2 linked regions of the Macaca fascicularis genome follow. The protein of the gene in region 2 binds, or shares a complex with, the protein of the main gene of each other region. Links are inferred from orthologs where the notes say so. Each region holds a gene or a part of one and is shown on either strand. Other genes may lie near its edges.

Region 1 (3,938 bases), on a different chromosome or scaffold from region 2:
AAATAGTGCAACTGCTGTGAAAAAGTTTGATGGTTCCTCAAAACTTAAACAAAATTAACATATGACCCAGTAATCCACTCCTAGGTACATACCCAAAATAACTGAAAGCAGGGACACAAACACATTTGTATGCCAATGTTCACAGCAGCATTATTCACAATGGCAAAAAAGATGAAACAATCCAAGTGTCCATCAATAGATGAGTACATGTGATGCACACATACAATGAAATATTATTCAGTCTTGACAAGGCTGAATGGATGCTACAACATCAACCCCGAAAACACCATGAAATAAGCCAGTCACAAAATGACAAACACTGTAACGAGTTCACTGAAATGAAATATCCAGAATAGACAAATTCATATATAGACAGATAATACATTAGAAGCTACCAGGGGATGGGGCGGGGGAGGAATGGGAAATTATTTTTTAATAGGCACGGTGTGTCCTTAAAAGGTTACCAGCACACTGGGCATGGTGGTGTGTGCCTGTAGTCCCAGCTGGTTGAGCCAAGGAGCTCAAATCCAGCTTGGAAAACAGTGCAAGACTCCATCTCTTTAAAAATTAAAACAAGGCAGGATGGCGTACAGGCTTTCTGTTGGAGGGAGGGATAAAAACTTGTAGAAATAGTGGTTGCACAACAATTTGAATGCTATTAATGCCAACAAATTATACACTTAAAAACAGTTAATGACCATGCACGCTGGCTCACGCCTGTAATCCTACACCACTTTGGGAGGCCGAGGCGGGCGGATCGCTTGAAGTCAGGAGTTCCAGACCAGCCTGGCCAACATGGTGAAACCCTGTCTCTACTAGAAATACAAAAATTAGCCAGGTGTGGCGGTGGGCGCCTGTAATCCCAACTACTGGGGAGGCTGAGGCATGAGAATCCCTTGAACCCGGGAGGCAGAGGTTGCAGTGAGCCGAGATGGGCGCCACTGCACTCCAGCCTGGGCGACAGAGTGAGACTCAAGAAATAAGAAATGGTTAACATGGCAAATTTTGTTACATATGCACACACATATGTATTTTGAGACGGAATCTCGCTCTGTCGCCCAGGCTGGAGTACAGTGGCGCGACCTCAGCTCACTGCAACCTCCACTTCCCAAGTTCAAGTGATCCTCCTGCCTCAGTCTCCCAAGTAGCTGCGATTACAATTCTATGCCACCACACAAGGCTAATTTTTGCATTTTTAGTAGACACAGGGTTTCATTATGCCGACCAGACTGGTCTCAAACTCCTGACCTAAAGTGATCCGCCAGCCTCAGTTTCCCAAAGTGCTGGGATTGCAGGCATGAGCCACCGTGCATGGCTTGTTATATAACTTTTTATCGCAATAAAAAATTTATTTTAAGCCAGGCGCGGTAGCTCACACACCTGTAATCCCAGCACTTTGGGAGGCCGAGGCAGGCAGACAACCTGAGTTCAGGAGTTCGAGACCAGCCTGGTCAATATGGTGAAACCTCATCTCTACTAAAAATACAAAAATTAGCCAGGCGTGGTGGTGGGCACCTGTAATCCCACCTACTGGGGAGGCTGAGGCAGGAGAATGGCGTGAACACGGGAGGCGGAGCCTGCAGTGAGCGGAGATGGCGCCACTGCACTCCAGCCTGGGCGAGAGCAAGACTCCGTCTGAAAATATATATATATATACACACACACACATATATATATAGCATATACATATATTTTTCAGTTACACACCTTTTACTTATATTAAAAACCCATTATGGTGTCAATCCAAGGAGTTATGTGCAGCGCTAAAGACAAGCCGGCAGTAGTTTGTAGGGAGATACACCCAAGAGATGAACACTCAGGAACCATCTTCACTAAACACACACCAAAAGCTCTTCCATCAACCCTTAGATAATAACTCGGGTTTTGGTAGTTTATTTTTCACTTTTGGTGCTTTGGTACCTAAGGCTTAATATTACGTGGAAATGCTCTTTGAGAATAACAAACACCACTCGACAGCATCACTCTCCCTTACCATGCTGTCCTAGTGCAATTTATTTGACCATGAGTCCCTTTAGGGCGGATACTACAACTTAATCATCTACCTATCACTTTTGTACCTAGCAGCCATAACAGTGCTAAATCTTGGGTCTGTGCATTCTTAACCGCCCAAAAGTTGCAACATTAATCACAAAAGCGTTACAATAAAGGCAAATCTCCTTTCACCTAACAACAAAAACTTCTAACTTCCCGAAAGTTGAGCCTGAAGACCCCAAGTGGAGGAATGAAATTTAAATCAAGGAGAATAACTCTCTACACTGGCAAAGGCAATTAACTGTTGTTCCAGGTTCCCGGCCCGGGTCCGAGCCCGCCCCCGCCCTCCTCACCAAGTGTAGATCTGCAACTCGCTGGACGGTACATTTCCCCGGGAGAACTCGTCCATTCGGTGGTGGCGGCCGTTATTGGTGGTGAAGACCCGCAGCAACAGTGGGCATGTCTGAGGGCGAGAGAAAAACGGAACGGCAGAAGTTAAAGACACCAGCTGCGAGCCCGGACCTCACCTCTCTTCCCGAGGCGTTGCGGCCTCCGAGCCGTCCGGATACCAAAAACACCGTCTCCTCCCGCACACAGGCCGCGCCTCTGCACCCTGCCGGGCCCACCCCCAATCTCTTCCCGGACCCCAAAGCGGAGGGGACCTTCACCTTCTCGCGGTCGATTGGCTTCTCTGGCTCCTTCTTAATTTCCTCCTGGGTAACGCGCGACTCCACCGCCATCTTCCTCCTACGGCCCGCTAGACGCTCGCCCTGACCTCCGACCCCTGCAGCGAGCATGAGCACGAAGTCTCTCGCGAGGAGAAGCTCGACACTTTATAGTCGGGCAGTGGCTGGGCGGGGCGTATCCTGGCGCAGGCGCACTTCCGTTCGTGGCGTGCGAGCCGGGCGCGCCTGCGTGTTGCGACTTCGGGAAAAGGTGGGTGCTGGCCTCAGTGGGGAGGAGCGGTTTAGCCTCCGTCGCCTGGCAGTTGGTTGCCGGGGTGTTTTTTTTTTCCCTTAAATATTCACAGGCGAAATAAGCTTAAGGTGGCGTTTTCACTCGTAATGACGAAAACCTTATTGGACACAAAACGTTCCTTTATTAGCAAAATATAGATCTTTCTGATAAAAGAACAGGTCCGCCATACCCGCCCCTGAGGTAAGCCGGAAGAGGCGTCGCCAGCGTACGTGGTCATGGAGCGATCCTTCCAGCCACATACACGGCGGCTTAGAGACCGGAATGCGAGCAGGAAACCCGGAACTTGTAGGAAATAACGTTCTAGAATATCTTCAGGACCTATGGATGGGAATATATGATAGAAAAAACTAACGAGAAGCAATTGATTTGACTGGGTTAGGACAAAAATAATCTGACCTTCAAAACTCCGTGATGAACAAACTCCATGATGAACCCAAAATGCCAAGTATATGACTGAACTTAAAAGTGATATCATCTTACGACTGAAAAGTGGGAAAAAAAAATACATCATAAGAGAGAAAAAAGCCACAGAGTGGGAGAAATTTGTTACACATATGATTGACAAAGGCAATTATCCAGAATATATAGGATGTAAACAGACAACCCAATCGAAAAATGGATAAAATTACTGAACAGGTGCTTTGGAAATGACAAAATCCAGAGAGGCAACAAACATGTAAGGTGAGCAAGCGCATTACAAATCAGGGAAATGCATTAAAACCATGATTAGTTTCAATTGACTGGTTTTTAAGCCACACCCACTAGATTGGCAAAAATTAGGAACTCTGGCCAGGCGTGGTGGTGGCTCACGCCTGTAATCCCAGCGTTTTGGAAGGATGAGGCAGGCGGATCACCTGACCTCCTGACTCCCGACTTGAGGTCAGGAGTTTGAAACAAGCCTGGCCAACACGATGAGGCTCCGGCTCCACTAAAAATACAAATAAAAATAAAAATAAAAACGGCCGGGC
Region 2 (4,310 bases):
ATTTTAAAAAGCAGTAATTGCACTGTACTTTAATAATATGCATATTGAGTGTAGGGGAAAATACATGCAAGTCTGCAATTTACTTTGAAAGAAAAACTAAGATTGAGAAAAACTAAGATTGAAAGAAAAACTAAGATTGATAAAAACCATCTAGCAAATACAGCAGAAATATAACTTACAGACTCTTAACCTCTGAGTTTTGTTTTGTTTTTTTTTGAGATGGAGACTTGCTCTGTCACCCAGGCTGGAGTGCAGTGGCACGATCTTGGCTCACTGCAACCTCCACCTCCTGGGTTCAAGCGTTTCTTCTGCGTCAGCCTCCTGAGTAGCTGGGACTACAGGTGCTTGCCATCAAGCCTGGCTAATTTTTGTATTTTTAGTAGAGACAGGGTTTCACCATATTGACCAGGCTGGTCTCCAACTCCTGACCTTGTCATCTGCCAACCTTGGCCTCCCAAAGTGCTGGGATTACAGGCGTGAGCCACCAGACCTGGCCCTTAAGTAGTCTTTATGTGGGTATTAATTGTATAATTTGACGTTCCTGTGCTTTAAAAATTTTTCAAAAATAAGATGAAAAAAAAGTAGGCACTGAAATTGCATGAGAGACTGCCTGCCATGTAAGAGTTTAGCAAAATGCCTGGACTGCAGAATGTGTTCAAATAGCGGTTACTCATTACTCAAAAGCAAACTAATTAGTTATGGGCCCTATTTTCCAGGGACGCCTTCAGTATTTCCAGTAAAGTTCTGCACAAGCTGCAGGAGTTGTTAAGTGCAGCTCTCAGGATGTGAGTCTCAGCTACTTCTGTCTCACCTTCTCCAAGAGCCAGTTGGTAAGGAGGACACAGCACACCAATGGGGTCCTGGTTTCCCTGTGCAGTACCTGCCAGGGGTGCTTCAAAATGCTGCTGAAAACGTGTTCTGACCCAAGAAAGAAAAGCACCTGGCTTTAAACAGTCAAATGAGCCAAGGAGGGCCGAACACCACCTCTGCTGCTCTTGTCCGGGGGTATCATGTTTTGCTTTAGAATAGTAAGGTTCTGCAGACACCCAGCAGATAGTGCCTCGACACTGTTGGTGTCCTCGGACAGTCAGTGAGTATCATTCAGAGTATAATTCAGAGTCTGCAACCAGAGGGCCTGGGTTTGATTTGAGGTTTTACGGTGTAATTTTCGACAAGTCACTTAACCTTTCTCAAGTTTCTTATCAATATGGTGACAATTACAATTCCAACTTTATAGTTACCCAGGGCATTAATGAAAAGCTCAATAATGTTAGGAGCAAGATTTGTAAAGGCTCCTCCCTCCCCCAGACATTTGTCTCCAAAGTCACACGTAATTTCTGAACTCTCAGCAGGGTTCCTGCACTCATCTGCCTTAGGATCACCTGCAGCAGAAATGTCCAATAGAAACAGTGTGAGGAGCCACAAGCATCACCTGAAATTCCTTAGTAGCCACATCACAAAAATGGGTGAAATTTTTAACACTTGACACATCCAAAATATTATCTTTCCAACATATAATCAACATAAAAATCTACTAATAAAAGTTTACTTTTTTTTCATAGTCTTCTAAAACTGGTATGTGTTTTAACATTTCAGTTTTGATGAGCTGTATTTCACATGCTTAGTAGCCACATGTGGCCAATGGCTACTTCACTGGACAGCACAGACCTAGAGTGGAGGTCACACCCGCAGATTTCAGCCCCACCCCCCCAGACTTAAAGATCTGCCCAAATGTACTTTGTGGAATCAAACACCACCAGTTATTCTCAAGCAGTCCAAACACTAAGAACCACTGAGTAAGCGGACGGCTCGCTGGGTGCGGTCGAGTGCTAGAAAGCAAAAGTTGAGGTTCTCTGTTCACCCAAGTTCAGGTACCGGCTCAGGACCTCGGTTACCTCCCCCATCCTCCGGAAAGGTGCGCGTCCAACAGCCAGAGAGAGGAGAGAACAATTAGTTAAATCTCGAGGAGAGGGCGTTTCGGCATAAATCTTCAGAGCACCTTCCCCATTTAAGAGTACATTTCAGGCACAGTTCATGAGAAATCAAGACAAAAAGCCTACTCCACGTTTCTCCTCCATCAACCTTAACCTTCCCGTATCCACCCCTCTGGGATAACCCATCAAACTGAGCTCGGACACCGTGTTCGGTCCATAGTGGGCCGTATCCCCACGGCCTAGCGCCGACAATTGCACACGGGAGTCCGGGAAACGTTCGCGGAGTACACGTTTGAATTAATGACTCCGAAGGATGGATCGGCCGACCTTCCACCGCATCCCACAAAGAAACTCCGCGCCCGCCGGCACCGGCCCGACACGCCGACCTCGCCGCTCCCCGTCCGCGTTCACTCACAACTTCCCCGTCCAGGCGCCGGGCCGCAAGCGCTTCCAGGGCAGCGCCTGGCGTTGGGGGCTTGGGTCTCCGGCCCGGCGGGAGGGCCCCAAGAACGGAGGCCGCGCTCACCGCTGCTCCGAGTCCCGCGGGCCTGGCTGGGCCACCGCCGAGCGGACGAAGCAGAGGCGCCCTTCCGTCCGCGGCGGCCCCGATCACTTCCGGGCCACGGCCTCGACACCTCCCACTCCGCCCGCCCCGGGCCACACTCTTTCTTCTCGGAGCCCGCACCGCGCTGCCAGGCCACCGCCGCACTGCGGGGCTGAGAAGTGGACCGGCTTCACGATGCGTCCTGCCGGGCCTGACGGGCAGCCCCCGAAACACGGATGCGGTCGGATTCCGCCCCAACTTACATCTTCCCGCCGCCACCACCTCCTCCTGCTTTCCTCAGCCTCCGAGGCCGGCGCCGCTCTGACGTCAGAGTCAAGGAGCGGGAAGACGCCGCCGTCCGGCGCGTAGCGATGACGTAAACGCCTGGCCCAATGGGCGCCGGCGGGGAAGTGTTAGACAGTCAAGGCAGTTTGTGGTAGCCGCGTTGGGGACGTTCAGGGTGTCTCCTCGCCGGTAAAGTCCCTGGGACTGACCGGACTGGCTGCACGCTTGCTGGAGCGAGCACATGGGTAGCCTGCTGAGCCTGGGAGGGCCGCGCGATAACCGATGCTCGTCGTCCGGAGCGGAGGGTGTTATCGCGGCCGTGCCCCGCCCCTTTCCTTGCGCGGGCTCCCTGGACCCGCCCGGGCCGATTCTGGCCCCTGTCGCCGGCGGTGGAGGCGGGGCTCCAGGCCCGGCTGTGCTGAGGGCGGCAGGGTGGTCGCACAGGAGGGGTGCGCAGCCTTTGCGGCCTTGCGTGGCGGGGCGTGGGGGCCTGCAGGGCGGAAGTAGCTCGGAGAGACGGGCTGGGGCAGGACTTGCGTTCCTGCGGTCAAAACCCACTGGTGGCGTTTGGGGTGCTCTCGTGGACGCGGCCTCCGCGCAGGCGGACCTCCAGGGTGGGCGCTGCAGGCGGGCTGTGCGGGCAGGAAGAGCAACGAGCTTGAGGATGGGAGATGGGGTGCAACGGGGGGCGTCTCCGGGCAGGTGACACTGCCGCTGAGACTAGAGTGGAAGGGCGCGCCCGGCGGGGGAACAGCAGACGCCGAGGTTCGCTGGAAGCAGGGAAGGGAGGCCGGGGCACAGGCTCGCAGGCCCGCGCCAAATTCTCAGTGGAGGCAGCACGGAGCGTGTGAACGGCGCAGCGCCGAGGCTTCATCTAACGGCCGGTGCAGGGTCCGAGCAGGGAACACTGTCGACCAGGGTCCGACTCTGGGAGAGTCCAGAGGTGGCGCCTCTGGCAGGCACAGAGGAGGGGGTGACGCTGTAGGGGCCCAGGCAGGAGGCTCCGCGTCAACGCCCCACACTGACGCGGCGGAATTTTTTTTTTTTGACAGAGTCTCGCACTGTTGCCCAGGCTGAAGTGCAGCGGTGCGATCTCGGCTCACTGCAACCTCCGCCTCCCGGGTTCAAGCGGTTCTCCTGCCTCCGCCTCCCGAGTAGCTGGGATTACAGGCACACACTACTACACTCGGCTAATTTTTTGTATTTTTATTAGAGACTGGGTTTCACTATGTTGGCCAGACTGGTCGCGAACTTCTGACCTCGTGATCCGCTCCTAGGCTTTCAGGCTCGCTCCAAAAGTGCTCGCTCCTAGGTTCGCCTTGGCCTCCCAAAGTGCTGGGATTACTTTACAGGCGTGAACCACCGCCCCCGGCCGGGTTTTGTTCACTGCTGTGCCTGTTAGGTAGTCGTTGCCCTTTGATTATTTGTGGAGGGATTGACTGTGTGCTCAGCTTCCGACTTTGAACAGCTTCCTGGCAGCAAGGAAGGGAGAAGGAAGCAGATCCAAGCGGATCTTTGGGAGGAGACAACCAGCATGACTTGGAGAC

What was found.
Region 1: RNPS1 (region 2) and SAP18 share a complex: the UniProt entries of both Homo sapiens proteins name them as parts of the heterotrimeric ASAP (apoptosis- and splicing-associated protein) and PSAP complex. The link is inferred for Macaca fascicularis from reciprocal best matches to the Homo sapiens genes RNPS1 and SAP18.

The regions. Positions count from the first base shown.
Region 1 is NC_088391.1:793,860-797,797, forward strand, and holds the start of SAP18 (histone deacetylase complex subunit SAP18), read right to left. Parts: upstream 2,802-3,938; 5' UTR 2,790-2,801; coding exon 2,661-2,789; intron 2,456-2,660; coding exon 2,346-2,455; intron 1-2,345. UniProt on the Homo sapiens protein: Component of the SIN3-repressing complex. Enhances the ability of SIN3-HDAC1-mediated transcriptional repression. When tethered to the promoter, it can direct the formation of a repressive complex to core histone proteins.
Region 2 is NC_088394.1:3,040,701-3,045,010, forward strand, and holds the start of RNPS1 (RNA-binding protein with serine-rich domain 1), read right to left. Parts: upstream 2,802-4,310; 5' UTR 2,744-2,801; coding exon of another isoform or gene 2,742-2,743; 5' UTR 1,550-2,741; exon of another isoform or gene 812-1,549; intron 1-811. UniProt on the Homo sapiens protein: Part of pre- and post-splicing multiprotein mRNP complexes. Auxiliary component of the splicing-dependent multiprotein exon junction complex (EJC) deposited at splice junction on mRNAs.